Linked DNA regions of Lepisosteus oculatus. The protein of the gene in region 3 binds, or shares a complex with, the protein of the main gene of each other region. Links are inferred from orthologs where the notes say so. Each region holds a gene or a part of one and is shown on either strand. Other genes may lie near its edges. The genes, in order: taf1b, taf1a and taf1c.

Region 1 (5,016 bases), on a different chromosome or scaffold from region 3:
GCACAAAATAATAGTGACAGTCCGTGAGACAGTGAACGGGGGAGACAAAGAACGGCATCCAAATCCAAACAGGTCCAAAGGCAGGTCAGGGCCCAGTCCGGGAGTCCAGCGGCGAGTAATCCGTCCTGGGACGCGACAAGGTTAAAATCCCCGTGAGGGGGGAACACACGGACAGACAAGACACGGAGGTCCAACGGTGACGGGGCGAGATCCTCCAGGAAGCGGGCGGTGTCGGGGATGAGGCCTATGCCCTCAGGAGACGGCCGTAGCCAGGCGGGCTTCGCGACATACTTATACTAATAATGAGCTCCGAGTACTGGCGGAGCTAGTCTTTAAATAATAAACCTAAAAAGGTTCACCTGGGGAGCTTAATCACAGAAACAATAACGGCAGTAGTGGAGCGCCCTCTAGGGAGGGATGTCAGGAATGACGGACAGTACCACAGTGGCACACTGACTAAAACTTAACATCAATTCAGATGTTCACTCTGGTTTCCCCTCAAACCAAATCTGAAAAAAAGAAAAAGATGCTCTGATGTAGTTTGCGATATGGACTATTTCAAGTGCCAATTCTAGATATTTAACGCAAACAGCCACATGACCCTCACAGCATGACCACATTCCTACTTGACAAAACTAGAGGTTCAGGGAGTGCCATTATATTTCATTCCTATATTCCGCATGATGAAAAGCGAGCCTTGAGTGCCACCAGCTGGGCCTGTGACCAAACAGCAAATCTAGCTTCATTATTACAGAAAAAGCACTCTCGCCCTCCTCCCGTTACGTTAAATATATGTATTTTTCCGATTGGCATCTGCACATCTTTGAGGGACGATGGGAATGCAGGGGCATATGGACGCCACGACACTTTCTGAAGTGGTCGAAGAGGCCGATCCTGACATGACATGATCTTGCCTGCCTTTTATTTTCCCTGGCGTGGTTTTCTGTATTTTTGCAGAATTTGTCATCTGCACCTTTGCTGACAAAGAGATGTCTGAAACGCGTCTGGTTAAAATAAAGGCTGCTTTGTACATTTTTCCCCCTCTACCGGGTCAGCGCCACAACATACTGTCAATCCTGTCCTCAGCCCCCTTTTAAATGTCTTCCCCATTTGCAAAAGCCCGAGCAACCTTTTCATTATTCATCATTGCTGTCTATATTTGCACAAGCCTGAGGAACCTTTTCATTATTCATCATTGCTGTCTTTGATACAGTATATGGAGACATCTCCCCTGTCATGAAGCATGAATCCTGTCATTTATCAGAGACGAGGAAATACCTTGTGTCAGATGTTTCAGAATATCATCCCCATTCCCTGCAGTTGTCTAATTCCCAAGGTACCAAACAAAAATGCCAGTTTCCTCACACTGAAAGAGGCCCCATGGCCAAAACGTTGTGTTTCTCTTTTTTTTTTTACATTTCTGCATGGAATGAACCTTTACGTCTTAGTTTACAGCCAGCACATGCTGACACAGCTCCCTACTCAAAGGTCAGCTAACGACTGTGACAGACTGTGTATGTGGAGATTATGGGCCAGTTGTTCATTAGAAGTGGTCTGAAAAGATTAGCGACTCATTTAGTAGTCTAATATCATCATAGCGTTTCTGTTTTCGAACTGAAGCCGTGACCCATTCCCACAACTGATAAAATGTGCAACACGATACGCATGATTTCAGGCAATGGTGTTTTCTATTATCTCAGCTGCTCTTATGCTGTTCAGATGTTGTACGGTAGGTAGATATCTGCAGGTTATTTCCAGGTTAGGATCTCTGCACCACAAATCTCTGCAGTCATTAAAGTACTATACAGGAAAGCTGCCCCAATGGGTTCTAAGGTTTTAATCGGAATCTTAGAATAGAAATACAGCTCATAATTTTCTCCAGCCCTTTAAAACACCATTTTTACACAGATACTACCATTGAATCTGCAACATAACTTTCAGCTAAATTCGCTTAATCCTCTTACTGGCGTTTTTACACTTGCAATCTGAATCACGATAGTGAAGTGAAGGTCATGTGATGGTAGCTAACTGAAAAATCTGATGCTAAACTTAATAAAACGAAATCATCTGAAACTAGGTCGCTACCGCTAAAGATTCATTCGCCTACAAAAACCCTAAAATATTCATATACATTCTTAAACTTAAAAAGATTATCTGACTTTCTCTATATATCATATAGCAAAACGAAACACAGATAAATACACAGCCCCAATCAATAACTAACGTATGTGTGCATTTTGCATACGCCTTGTTACAGACGCTCACGGTTGCAACACGACAGCATTTAAGTGTTACACCGGAAGTACCGCATGTTTGTAGTAGTTACAAACATTGAAGAATGTGGACTGTATATACCTTTTAATACCTCATGGATGATGAACATACTGTAAGTTATTTACTGATTTAAAATGATGTTACGGTACTGACTTTGCTTTTGCGAGGTATAGTCAAGGGCGATTGTACTGCCAAACTGTCTTTGACGTTGTATTATAGCAAGTAAACGTTTTCCACTTAAGCTGATGAAAAAACACTTCAATTGCGTTTGGTCGTATTTTAAATAACGCTTAAAAACTCTCCCAATGCGAAAACGGAGAGAAGAAAAATCTGGTCTATGAGACAGGTCAGACAAACCATGGGTTGATAGCTATTTTCCAATCAAAACCTTCAACCCTTACCGGGGAACCGATTAACGATATGCTAAAATAAAAATAACATTATTTTATATATTGTAGAAAAGAAAAAAAAACGCTTTAAAGAACACTATACAGTTCATTTAACATACATACATGTCTCAAAAAAACAAATCGTAATCTGTTTTTTGGGCAAAATGTACCCATGCTACTGGGGATCACTGGTGATTCCAGGAGTGACATTAAGAAGAGTTTGGTGGAAGCGACACAGAATAAGTGTGCCTGCGTCGCCTTCCTCCGTGTTTCTGTACTGTATGTCTTGTGCGGTGCTGCCTCTTGCAGAAGGACTACCGGGAGCCGTGCCTGGTGTGCTCCGAGGTGGACTGGGGGCTGACGGATGAGGGCAAGTTCTACTGTAGGTCCTGCCAGAACGTCATCGAGGTGAGGCAGACCTGTTAGATTATTAGGAACAAGTAAAGGCTTATTCCCTGCTGAAAAGAGAAGAAAGGAAACAACGTTTCACGCTGGGGAGCCTTCTTCGGGGCGTTGTCTATTTTTTTCTCTTTTCAACATGGAATAAACCTTTACTTGTTACTTTTTGTAAGTTGTATGTTATTTAATGTGTTGTTGCTGCTGCTGCCCTGTGTTTTTTTATGTTTCCTTTCACAGACCCACAGTAAAAAACCTAGACTAGAATCCATATACTATATAGCCCCTTTGTGTCTGACTGTCTATCTCCCAAATGCTTAAATTCTCACAACTGTTCTTGTTGTAACAGAGAACCAAAGAATTGGACCCTGAGGACGTCTTTTGTGGTTCCAGCTCAAGAATCTCCTCTATTTCTCAAAGTCTACGGCAGAAGAAAAAACTAGGTTAGTTAGTCTTTGCTCTTAGGAGAGGTTTGGATGTCAGTTTTGAAGACGTGCTGCGGTTCCAAAGCTCTTTCTCTGGATACTCAATATTTTATTCATTTTGCATCCGGAATTTGAAGTTGTTCTCATATGTGGGTTTTCACCTGAGAGCCGTGACCTGTGTTTATGGGAAGTGATGGATGCTGACTTCACGTACTAGAGTGTTGTCTGCAGCAACTGGGAACCTGCAAAGCTTCATCATGTATCAGTACCGGTTGTGACGGCAGATCTCTCCTTTTTGCTCTGTTAAAATACTATGGGCTGGGTATAGAAAATGACAGTTCAAAATCTAAAAATGGAAAAACAAGCCAGAAAGGAATTTGGCCAGGATGCTGGGGTAAAGCCCCTACTCTTTTCGAGAAACATCCTGGAATTTTTAATGACCAGAGTCAGGACCACGGTTTTACATCTCATCCAAAGGGTGGTACCTGTTCTACCGTATAGTGTCCCCATTACTATATTGGGGCATTAGGACCCACGCAGACCTCAGGGTGAGCGCCCCCTACTGGCCCCACTAACAGCAGCAACCTAAGTTTTCCCAGGAGTCTCCCATCCAGGTACCAACCAGGCTCACACCCGCTGAGCTTCAGTAAATTTTCATTTGTGGGCTGCTGGGCTGCTGCTGCTGTTGCCCTTGAGAGAGAGAGAGAGACTTCACTCAGATTTCTGCTGTGAATCTCCTGCTGTATACACAGGTCTCCAGGCTGTCTCCATTGCAATTGAGAATTTCTTTTCAATCGAGGAGGTAAAATAACCAAATACGTCAAAGGATTTCCATATCTGTGAAAACAAAAGGCTTCTGATTTGCTGAGCTTAATTATTGTGAAATATTGCTAGGTTCGCATGTCATGTTGCAGCTCTTCTGAAGTCATTCTGAGTGGGCAGCTCTGGATGTGGGACTGACCTGAACTGCTTGGCTCTCTACACTTCTCTAATACACTACATCCCCCTTCTTCACTGCTCAATATTTGCAATATTTGTCTCCCCCCCCCCCCCCCGGGCGGTTATTTCAGAGCGAGGCCGGGAATGGATGGTGTGTGAGGCCTTCCAGTTTATCCTGCAGAAGCAAGCCAGCGCTCTCCTGGAGATGGGCGTGGACCCACAGTTCAAGGTACCGGGCTCCACGTCACGGACTGGGGGAGGCTCTGGGCGCGGAGAGCCGCTGGACCTGGGGCGCGAGCAGAGCAGGAAGCCGATGTTCCTCTTTCGTCTGCTCCTACTACAGAGCAGCACCAAAACAGAATCGGAAAGTCTACAGATTCCCGCAAGATAAAGCGCACAGCATTAACAAAGCCAGCATCCTCCCGGCTCATGTCCTTTTTCTGGAATTGGTTTGTTTATTCGTATTGCTTCTGGAGAGGCAGTGGTCCAAAACTTAAGTTATACCACCTTTTTTTTCAGTAGTGAGCAACAGCTTATGGAAGGGATGTGCTTCCTGATGTTTAGGACCAGACGGGCAGGTCTGCTCTGCATGG
Region 2 (5,016 bases), on a different chromosome or scaffold from region 3:
AAGGAAATCGAGCACAGATTTATTTCTCGCTGTATATCCCTCTTGAATGCAGTATTTGAAAATACTAATGGGGAATTAGTCCAAAAACCCCCTGATAGATATCCCAGTGCAAACAAGGAAAACAAAAAACAACATTTAGAATTGTTAATAGGTTTTTTCATGTTAAACTAACACTTTCTAGAATTAAACATGAACAACATGATATATATATATATGTGTTCTGTGAGACTGGAAAGGAAACACGTTTGTTATTTGTTGTTTTGATTAGATTTGCAAAAATGTATCATTAAGCATTTATCGTTAGGCACCTTCTATTTGCTGATATTTAATCAGCCTTTAATACAATGCAGTCACATATTTTGGTTGAAACGCTGATTTCACCGTTCAAATTAAATCCTAGTTTTCTGACTAAGTACACAAAATGTACTTATTAATGTGTTGGTATCTGACTCTGTACTTCTACTAATCCACCATAAGGGTGCGTTCTTTCTCCCCCTTTTCATTTTATATACTGATGACTGTCAGAGCAACTATGAAAATCATTGTATCAGGTTTGCTGTTTCTCTTCTTTCAGAGCCTGGACAAACACATGGACCCATTCTGGATGAATTTGTCAACTGGTGTGATCCTTCTTACCTTGAGATTATTGTGTCAAAAACAGAATAATGGTTGATCTAAAAAACAAACAAAGCACTGGCATTCCCACAACCATCCATGGTGAATCAGTTGGTATAGTTCACAGTTACAAATATCTGGGTTTGAGGTGTTTGAGGAAAAACTTAAGTTCCCTGAGATCACTGATGTCATTGTGAAGCATTGTGAAGCACTTAAAACAACCAAAACAACAAATAACAAACATGTTTCCTTTCCAGTCTCACAGAACACAAGTATATATATGTACCTGGATGGGAGACCTCTTGGGAAAAACTAAGGTTGCTGCTGGAAGAGGTGTTAGTGGGGCCAGCAGGGTGCGTTCACCCTGTGGTCCGTGTGAGTCCTAATGCCCCAGTAAAGTGACGGGGACACTATTCTGTAAACAGCCGCCATCCTTCGGATGAGACCTAAAACCGAGGTCCTGACTCTGTGGTCATTAAAAATGCCAGGGCATTTCTCGAAAAGAGTAGGGGTGTAACCCCGGCATCCTGGCCAAATTTCCATTTTCCATTGGCCCTTAGCAATCATGGCCTCCTAATAATCCCCCTCTATGAATTGGCTCCATTACTCTGCTCTCCTCCCCACTGATCGCTGATGTGTGGTGAGCGTTCTGGCGCACTATGGCTGCTGTTGCATCATCCAGGTGGATGTTGCACATTGGTGGTGGTGGAGAGGAGACCCATTAACTGTAAAGCGTTTTGAGTGGAGTGTCCAGAAAAGCGCTATATAAGTGTAAGCAATTATTATTATTTTTACTTATATGTTTTGAGAAAACAGTTCCACAGAATCCAGAAAAGAATTCTATCAGCATGTTAAAGGTATTATATATGGAAGCCCGTTTCCGTTTTTTTTACTCCCTGGCGGAAACGGGCTTCCATATATAGCTTTTATATCAAAAGTATTTTAACTTTTTCATTTAACCGTAGATTCAATTCACTCAGTCAAAGAGGCAAAAAACACCTTCAAAATGTTGCAAACCTCAGCTTAGAAATCATTGGACAGCCTTTAAGACCTCTGGCATAGCATTGTGTCCATCAGATCCTGAGGAAGGCCTGTGACATCAGTGAAGGCTCATCTCAGGTCTTTCATCAGTCTTTTGAACTTTTGCCTTCGTGCTGTCCACAGCACAAGACAAAATAAAAGTTTGGTTTGCTCCAGAGGCCACCAGGCTTGTAAACAATGAATGTAAAGAAATTTTATCACTATGACGTCAATTGGATAACACCCTACTCTACAAATGTGCAAATAGTTTAATACCTTCTTAAACATTGCACATTGTTACTTTCATAATAACTAAAGTATTTTGAACTGAATTGAATATAAAACTGCGTGTTAGATTTATAATTTGTAACATAGCATATAAAATAATATTTAGTTTTAATTAATTTGTTATACATAATTAGTAATATTGGGTCGATATATTCACAAAACCAAAAAAAATAATTTATTGTTTTCTGATTTGTAATTCCTTCTGGCAGCGTATTGTTGATGATTAATTATTTTTCTTCACTTGTCTTTTTCGATACCTTTTCTGCTTTGGTTGTATCATAAGGTGTTTAATAAAAGCTTAAGAAATCAAATACATGTTTGTACCAGAAGGTCCAAATAACGTTTACTGTCAGATCAGGCTACCACAATAGTACAACATTATGCTCTAGGTCTGCGCAGATACACTGCTGCAGGTTTCTGCGCTATAGGAACTCTGCTTTAGAGTCAGAGTCGTCGTCCATGACGTAGACCATGTTGCTGTTTTCCGTGGGCATGCGCACTGTCAAATTTGGGAGGTCCTGGAGTCTACATGTGTGGTGATCAAAATGTACTAAAATACGATTAAGTCGTTTTTTCGTGCAAAATGAACATAATATCGTTTCAATAGTCAAGAAACCAATTTATGTCATTTTTTATAATTGGAACATGAACGAAGACGTTTTATCAAGCAGGTTTGGTTGTCTGAATTATGTTTAATGTTGTGATTTCAGATAAATGTTTCTTTTACGCGTTTGAAGTTTTTTAAAGTCGTAACACTGGGAAGGTGGATTACCGTGTGCTTCTTACTTTCGGAAGTGAGCTGAATTAAGAACAGACGATACAGCTTTCAAACACTTCATGAAAACAATACGAAAGCCTCCTCTATCATAAACTGTATTTCCGGTGTTTTGTATAGCCTTTAATACACTTCGTATCAGGAAATGTAAATTGCGTTTTAGGTCGTGCTTAAGCAAATGCAATCGAATAAGAAGTGTTGTCCAAAACGTTTTAAAAAACTGACCTTATAACTAAACCTTAGAAATTGGCATGGATGTTACTGGTTCTTCAACAGGGTTCTGGTGAGGAAAATCATTAGTATACAAAGTAACTTACATAATATGCAAATAGGACAGACGTTTTAATGTTATTTGTATGCGTGATCATCTTCGATTTAGTGATGTTTTTTCTGATCAATATGTGAAAATCTTTTTCAGAGGAATTCAGTATGGAACATAAAGCAAGGTACTGCTATCATGGATTCCTTAAATCTTAATATTTTCCTTTTTTAACGAGATAAAAAGCCCTACTGAGGGCTGCAAAGACGTTTTAAGTGCTATAATTAAATGTAACACTTTATGTCAAACTATGTATGAGCCTCTTAATCCCTCTTAACAGTTTGCTTGAAAACCTTATAAAGTAGAAGAGTTCACCTGTCATTTTTAGCTGTTCACAACAGGAACATGTCATATCCTTTTTCTTTTTAGGAGACATGGATGACCTATGTGCTGAATTATCCCAGTCTGACCAGCAGGACAGTTTAGACGATGAACAGCAGATTTGTAGTCCTGAAATAGGAGGACGACCTCATTTGCCTCTATTGCACAGTTTCAAAGGTAAGATCTTCAATATTCACTGTTTTAAAGCAGTGCCCAAGCCTTTATCCTATCGGCTTACCGAAAATAATTGAAAGGCTGTTTTGTATTCATTCTTGGAAGTAAAAAGGATTTGTGTTTCCTCCTTTAGAAACGTTGCCAAGGAGAGAGACTGGTTTTCACAAAAGCTCCAGAATATGCCTGACCAAAATTCAGGAAGCTCTTTTCAAGCACCGTTGGGAAGAGGCTGCAGAATACATGAAGAATTACTTTGAAACGCTGGAAGACACAACTGTTCGGAAGCAGACTGTATCACCTGAAGTGAGTGTGGCCGTGACTGCACTAATTTAAAGAAGAACTGCGTTCACAATTTTGTAGACTAGTTATTATATCTATGTAACAAAAAAATAATTGCTGGTATAATAAAATGTTACAAATTCCGAATTAAGCAAAAACTGGTGAGCTTTGTGAAAGTACTGTATAGTCGTCATATAGTCACAAACCCGTGCTCTTGGCACAGGCAAGAGTGCAGATTGAGATATGAGGTGGCCCTTCCTGCTCACTAGTCACTGTAATGACTAATGAGTGAATAAGTACAGGCTGTGTAGCGGACATTTCACTGCAGAAATGTTCCAACGTGATCTGCATGCAGAGTTAACAAAAAAGTAGTATTTGTTGGCAAAACCTTCTCAAGGTTGAGAGCAATATTTCTGTTGGATTACAAGAGATGTATTCACAAGCTTGTTTGTTTACAAAGTCATAGGGCTGCTATGCCTCAGTGGAAGTTTGGTTGCCTCGTTCTGAATTGTAGAACAAGACATTGAGCATAGCTGGAAATGTAATCTATTTTATGATGTAAATTGCAGGTTTTACACATTACTGTGTACATTTTACTTTCATTGTGGTTTGAAATGCACTCATCAATGCTGATTCTTTCTAACCCCCAAAATATAAAAATAGCATCGCAGTGTTCCCCTTTTAAAAACAAAAAGTGCTCTCAGGTCCACTAAAGGTGCATTCAGTTTGAACCCTAAAAAGGTCATTGCTCGTTCAAACCACTGGTGTCTCATTTTGTTCGGTGACTGAGATTCTCTTAAAAAGTAGGGCATGATTATCCTGGCACTACCGGGGCTAGGTGGACATGAGTTGGTCATGGCACACAGATAAAATGTCATACAACGTACAACATCGACCCCTTTAGCTTGCTGGGCTCATGTGAACGTTCTGTGTTGTCCATGAGAGCTGCAACACTCCTCTGATCAGTGCTGAGTCCACTAAAGGAACTGTGTGACCCAATGTGGTGGATGTCTGAACACAAGTATACTACACATGCTTTCATCTCAGTTTAGTCCTCAGCCTCCCTGAAAGAAGGTAAAAGAACTGTACCAATAAAGTGAAATTATACTTTTTTTCACATTAAAAGTTGGAGAATATCCTTGAAGGAAAAGAGTTGTTTTTGATGAGTGCGTTTATTATTTTATTACAAGAGTGTTTAATAAAAATCCCTACTATTGAAATAAGG
Region 3 (5,016 bases):
CAGCAAAAAAAAAAAAACATGTTTTTATTTATCCCTCTATCCTTTCACTGGGCGTAGAAACTCTGAGGGAGAGAAGAGATAAGATAAGATCACTTTATTGGCCATATACAATTTCTGGTATTAGGAATTTGTCTTTTCGCATGCACACACGGAGAGGGAGAGAAGCTGGGGGTCAGAGCACAGGGTCATCCATTTACAAGGCACCCCTAGAGCTAGTTTCTGTTTCCTGTCTCCTGAACAGGAGTCCCCTCGCCCATCCGCCTTCGGCAGGAGCGTCAGAACACGTGACTCGATGGGACAACCTGTTTGTGTTACTATCTGCCCCCTTCCTCCCAATCCCATGTCAGAGAGCCGTCGCCCGCCTTGAGTGGAGTTTCCATCTCGCTCTGGGGTCCTGCGGGTGGTCTCAGTGCAGCCCCACACCTGAGGGCTCAGCAGCCGGGTCCCCTCCCACACCGCCGCCAAGGGAGCCCCCAGTTTCTCGCGCTGCTGGCTGAAGCCGGAGCAGCGTGTCTGAAATGTGTGAGCCCTGAAAGTGGTGCCCTGTGCTCCACAGCTAGTGCCTCTCTCTCCGTTAAATTCCTCTCCTCTCCGCCGGTACAGTCGCGCCTCCTCCCTCTAGACTAGGGCAGCGACTGGCCCCATATTCCCCGGACACTGTGAGACAAAGCGGCATTTTAAAAGTGCCCTGACACCGAAATACATCATTGTGTAAACCGACCAATAGACTTTTACTGAATTGACCTTCACGCTTAATTATCAATCAGGGGCAGGGAATAAAATAGTTGTATATGATTCTTTTTTCTCAATAAAGAAGCGTCTATATCTTTTTTTAAAAAAAAATAATTTCAATCCACCCCGTCACCTGCAGAGACCCCTCTTTGAAAGTTGCTATTTGCATTTTCTTCGAATTGGGTCTTCATTGGCAAGGTTTGCCGATCACATTGATGGACCGACAGTGCAAATTACGATTATACTGTAGAACAGATGACCTAAGAAAAACTAATTAAAAAACTACCAGCTGGTGGAACGCATCGAGACAAATCGCCAACATTAAAAAAATGGACAGCTGTCGTTGATCAAATAAAACAGTTCTCCGCTGATACTCTTTACTCCACGACCAAACGAAAAAGAAGAAAAAAAAACAATTTAGTAAAAAGGATTGACGTTTAATTTACACCTTAGGCTACGTTTAAACCCCAGACTCCCAAATGTGGTGGCGCACCTACAGTACGCCTGAAACCGGGTTTAATGAAAGTTTTTTTTTTTTGCACTGGACTCTTGCCGGCTCAAGTTTCGCAGAGGCCAGGGTTATTTGCCTTGACAATAATCGCTGTTTTTTTTTCCAAATTTGGCAACAGCCGGTAACCGACGTACCGGTTAGTGATGGAAACGGTTTTAGTCAGTTCTATGTGTTGGCTGTACATGTCCCAAGATGTATTTGTGTTGTGTAAATGTCTGTAGACCTTTGTATTCGCCGTGTGCGCTTTGGCACCACTGTAACACTGCGGTCATGACAATAAAGCTGTTTGAATTTGAATGTAGTGGCGTCCCCCTTTTCCACTAAGCCTGAAGGGCCTTGGCGAGCTCCTTCTCCTCCGATTGGTTACCGGTCTCATCCAGGGGAAGGGCTCACTCTTTCCTCTCTCCACCCCCCAGTCCCCCCAGTTTGGCGTCAAAACAGACTCCTCCTGCCGCGTTGGCTTCCGTTTTCGGAGCCTTTCGTTTACAGGAACACGTGTGGCGCGTACGCGTTCTTGTTTCGGACTGATGGTGTCGGGAAATTAATTTAACAACCAACCAACAAAAACAAAAAACCCCGTCAGGTTTGTACCTAGTCGTGCAGCGCAGCGCGGAGCGGAAGGGAGACGCGCTCGCCTCGTTGCCCAGTGCTGGGGTTAAACGGGGCCGGTTTGACACATGGGTCGAGCCCAGACATGGCCGGGCGTACGGACAGTGCGTTTCCCCCGATGCTTTTCCCCCAGGCCTACAACACCGGGCCTCCGGGCAGGACCGCTGGCGTCCTGCCGGTTGTAGGCGGCTGGGGGGTCTACGGCCAGATCCGGGGAGTGGACCGTCTTGTGCCGGAGGTGAGTACTTCAGCTCCTGCGCTCGCAGATCGTCAGCAGCTCCTGCGCAGGAACCTGCCGCTTAAGAGCCTCGGATCGTTTTTGCACATGCAAATGCACAAAGAATCGTCTTGTTTTGGTGGGGTGTCGTTTCACCCTGCATGCTCGCCTAAGTGCTTGCTTGAGCAGAATGGGATGTATCGCCTTATTTTGCAAATATTTTGCAATAAGATCATGCAAAACCTTATGTTGCATTATCTGCCAGCTCGCTGGCTGGGAAAAAAAAAACTGTTTTGCCTGACCTAGAATAAAGTTAGTAATTTGATCCATTCGGTTATCTATATACGCGATACAAAAGTGGTATTTCATGACGGTGTTGGGAAGATTTCAAATGACGGGAGGCCGACGGTACATCGTTTCGTAACTTAACTCATTGATCAGGATGTCAACCAGTAGTGTCTTAAAGGCAGCGACGGGCTCGTCTTCAACAACGTGGCCGACAAACTGGTTCCGTACTCCCGCAGTCTTTTTGTTTTCTGTTTTCGTCTGGCAAGGCTGATTTTCAACAAGTCTTGTAGGGTTTGGTGCCTTTTTGAGGATTTTGAATACCTGTCTCGGGTCCCCTCAGAGTTAAGTAAGAGCCCAGAGCATTAGTTTTGGCAGTGTGTCTGCGGAGTTTGAACTCCAATTCTTTCAGCAATCTTTTTTTGGGGCGGAGCGGTGGCTCTGTGGCTAAGGATCTGCGCCTTTGCCTGGAAGGTTGCGGGTTCAAATCCCGCAGCCGGCAGGGCAATCTTACTCCGTTGGGCCCCTGAGCGAGGCCCTTCACCCCAACTGCTCCAGGGGCTCTGTACAATGGCAGTCCCTGCGCTCTGACCCCCAGCTTCTCTCCCTGTCCGTGTGTCTCATGGAGAGCAAGCTGGGCTATGCGAAAAGATGTAATGCAAGAAATTGTAAAAGGTTAATAAAGTGATGTTGTTGTTGTTGTTATAATTATTTTTTTTTTTTAACTTTGCCTGGTGTTTCCAGAATGCTGGCCTAGAGGGTAAGATCAAGATAGAAGCCCAACACAAAGTAAAAGGAGAGGAATGGAGGCCGACAGAGCCCATTGTATGTCCCTTGCTGCCCCCGAATTCAGGTAACTGGCCTAGTGTCATTTATCGTATCCTAATCTTTAACCTAATCCTTATAAATTTCTTTCTTCTACCCCCCTCTTAATGATCTCGTGGATAAAGGATTTCATTCCCAACAACACCGCTGTATGCTGTACTGTTCGTGCATTGATAAATAAACCTTGATTGATTGATCGATACTTTGCTTCGGACCATGCTGCAGGCGGTATTTCCTGTCTCCAGTGGGCGCACAATCGGTGGTCTTCCGTTCAAGCACAGTTGTTGGTAATCCGATCCAGTTACAGGCCCCCCCCTCTAGAAGTACTCAGACCCTTCCTTTGTCATGCCACTTGTGAAATAACAAAATGATGTGCACACTTTTTTTAACTTCTTCATTTTATTCCAAACCTGAATGGCTCAAAATGAAGAATTTTAAGGGTGAAAAAGAGTTACGGTAAATATCAGCAAAACCTAAAGAGGAATAAAAAACGGAGAAATATAGATTCTGGAAGTAAGAGAGGACAGAATTTGCTAGAAGGTTACAAGAAGAATACAATACATTCATACAGTAACAATTTACAAGATTATGCAATAAAAAAACCATAGACAAGGAAAAAACATCGGGAGGGGGTGGATTTACATATGTGTAGTATTTATCTGTTCTAATCACTTTTTTCCCCTCTCTTCAGATTGCAAGATTCCCTCATCAGCTAACTCTCATGCCTTAGACTTCCCAGAACATGTAAGTGGTGTTGCAAGTTATTTTAACATCTTGTGATTCTCTGAGAGTTTGGAAGTGAATTGAGTTGAAAGGCATGTTGGTTCCTGCTTACGGACACGAGGCTTCAGGAAAACCTCACCACGGAAAAATGTAAATGTTAGTAAATGGGTGCCCAGAGAATAACCTGGCATCTCATTTGTGCCTTTGTTTTTGAACAATGTGTTGGTGTTACACTTACAGTTTGAACCTGTCCAATATAGTTTTAATCCTCTTGAGTGCTTGAGAAGTAACTCTTCTAGATTCAAGCAAATACTAGTCAATTCTGATTGTATAGCACTAACTGATTCAGATTGAACATTGTAAGAGTACAGTACCCCGAGTTATGTTAAAATAGAGTTTGTATGATTGTAGATACTGAATGTATACTGTGAAACTATGGTTCATATTCTGGGGTTGAAAGAGTTGGTGTTGTTTTTTATTTATGTCTTAAAAGCTTTATTTCTGTCATTTCTTGAAGTTGCGGAATTTCTACCTGGATAACCATCAAGATGCCTTTGGGACTATGAGCCGTCTGTTAGATGAACACTTCTATTTTGGTTACGGTAATCTACAGGTATGGGAAGCTATATTGGTGGGGTTTTGTAAAGCGCAACGCTGTCTTTCAGTGCATTGAAACCATGGTTGTTGCCTAGTTGCTTTTTTAGAACAAATCTTGTTCAGTTAGTTCAGTTCTGGTCCTGTTGGTGTAGCTCTGAAGTCTAGGCCTCATTATTTACAGTTGGCTTCAGTGTGATTCTATACTATTGTGTGTGTATTTTGAATGTTTTGTGCTGTAAAATGGCGGCAAAAAATACAAAAAACATCACATTAAGTTTGTTTTTTGATCTTCATTTTCAACGTTTTTGCTGCACTTCCAGCATAAAATTTGAATCAAGTCTGATTATCTGTGGGTTGGCGCTTAGCTTTATATTACTTCAACAAGACCTTTCTTTTGATATTTTGTCTTGCTTGCTATCTCATTGTGATTTGTCAGGAAGATGTGTCTTGTACAATTGGAATGTCCTCTTAGCCATTTGACTATACTCATGTATAATGTGATTTAATACAATTACAG

Evidence for each region.
Region 1: taf1c (region 3) and taf1b share a complex: the UniProt entries of both Homo sapiens proteins name them as parts of the transcription factor SL1/TIF-IB complex. The link is inferred for Lepisosteus oculatus from reciprocal best matches to the Homo sapiens genes TAF1C and TAF1B.
Region 2: taf1c (region 3) and taf1a share a complex: the UniProt entries of both Homo sapiens proteins name them as parts of the transcription factor SL1/TIF-IB complex. The link is inferred for Lepisosteus oculatus from reciprocal best matches to the Homo sapiens genes TAF1C and TAF1A.

What each region holds. Positions count from the first base shown.
Region 1 is NC_090697.1:11,859,518-11,864,533, reverse strand, and holds the start of taf1b (TATA box-binding protein-associated factor RNA polymerase I subunit B), read left to right. Parts: upstream 1-2,279; 5' UTR 2,280-2,368; coding exon 2,369-2,386; intron 2,387-2,972; coding exon 2,973-3,071; intron 3,072-3,408; coding exon 3,409-3,502; intron 3,503-4,554; coding exon 4,555-4,652; intron 4,653-5,016. UniProt on the Homo sapiens protein: Component of RNA polymerase I core factor complex that acts as a GTF2B/TFIIB-like factor and plays a key role in multiple steps during transcription initiation such as pre-initiation complex (PIC) assembly and postpolymerase recruitment events in polymerase I (Pol I) transcription.
Region 2 is NC_090697.1:42,662,566-42,667,581, reverse strand, and holds the start of taf1a (TATA box-binding protein-associated factor RNA polymerase I subunit A), read left to right. Parts: upstream 1-2,401; 5' UTR 2,402-2,452; coding exon 2,453-2,470; exon of another isoform or gene 2,471-2,594; intron 2,595-3,116; coding exon 3,117-3,144; intron 3,145-3,386; coding exon 3,387-3,515; intron 3,516-3,645; coding exon 3,646-3,815; intron 3,816-5,016. UniProt on the Homo sapiens protein: Component of the transcription factor SL1/TIF-IB complex, which is involved in the assembly of the PIC (pre-initiation complex) during RNA polymerase I-dependent transcription.
Region 3 is NC_090698.1:66,529,475-66,534,490, forward strand, and holds the start of taf1c (TATA box-binding protein-associated factor, RNA polymerase I, subunit C), read left to right. Parts: upstream 1-1,537; 5' UTR 1,538-1,937; coding exon 1,938-2,090; intron 2,091-3,098; coding exon 3,099-3,207; intron 3,208-3,870; coding exon 3,871-3,923; intron 3,924-4,419; coding exon 4,420-4,515; intron 4,516-5,016. UniProt on the Homo sapiens protein: Component of the transcription factor SL1/TIF-IB complex, which is involved in the assembly of the PIC (pre-initiation complex) during RNA polymerase I-dependent transcription.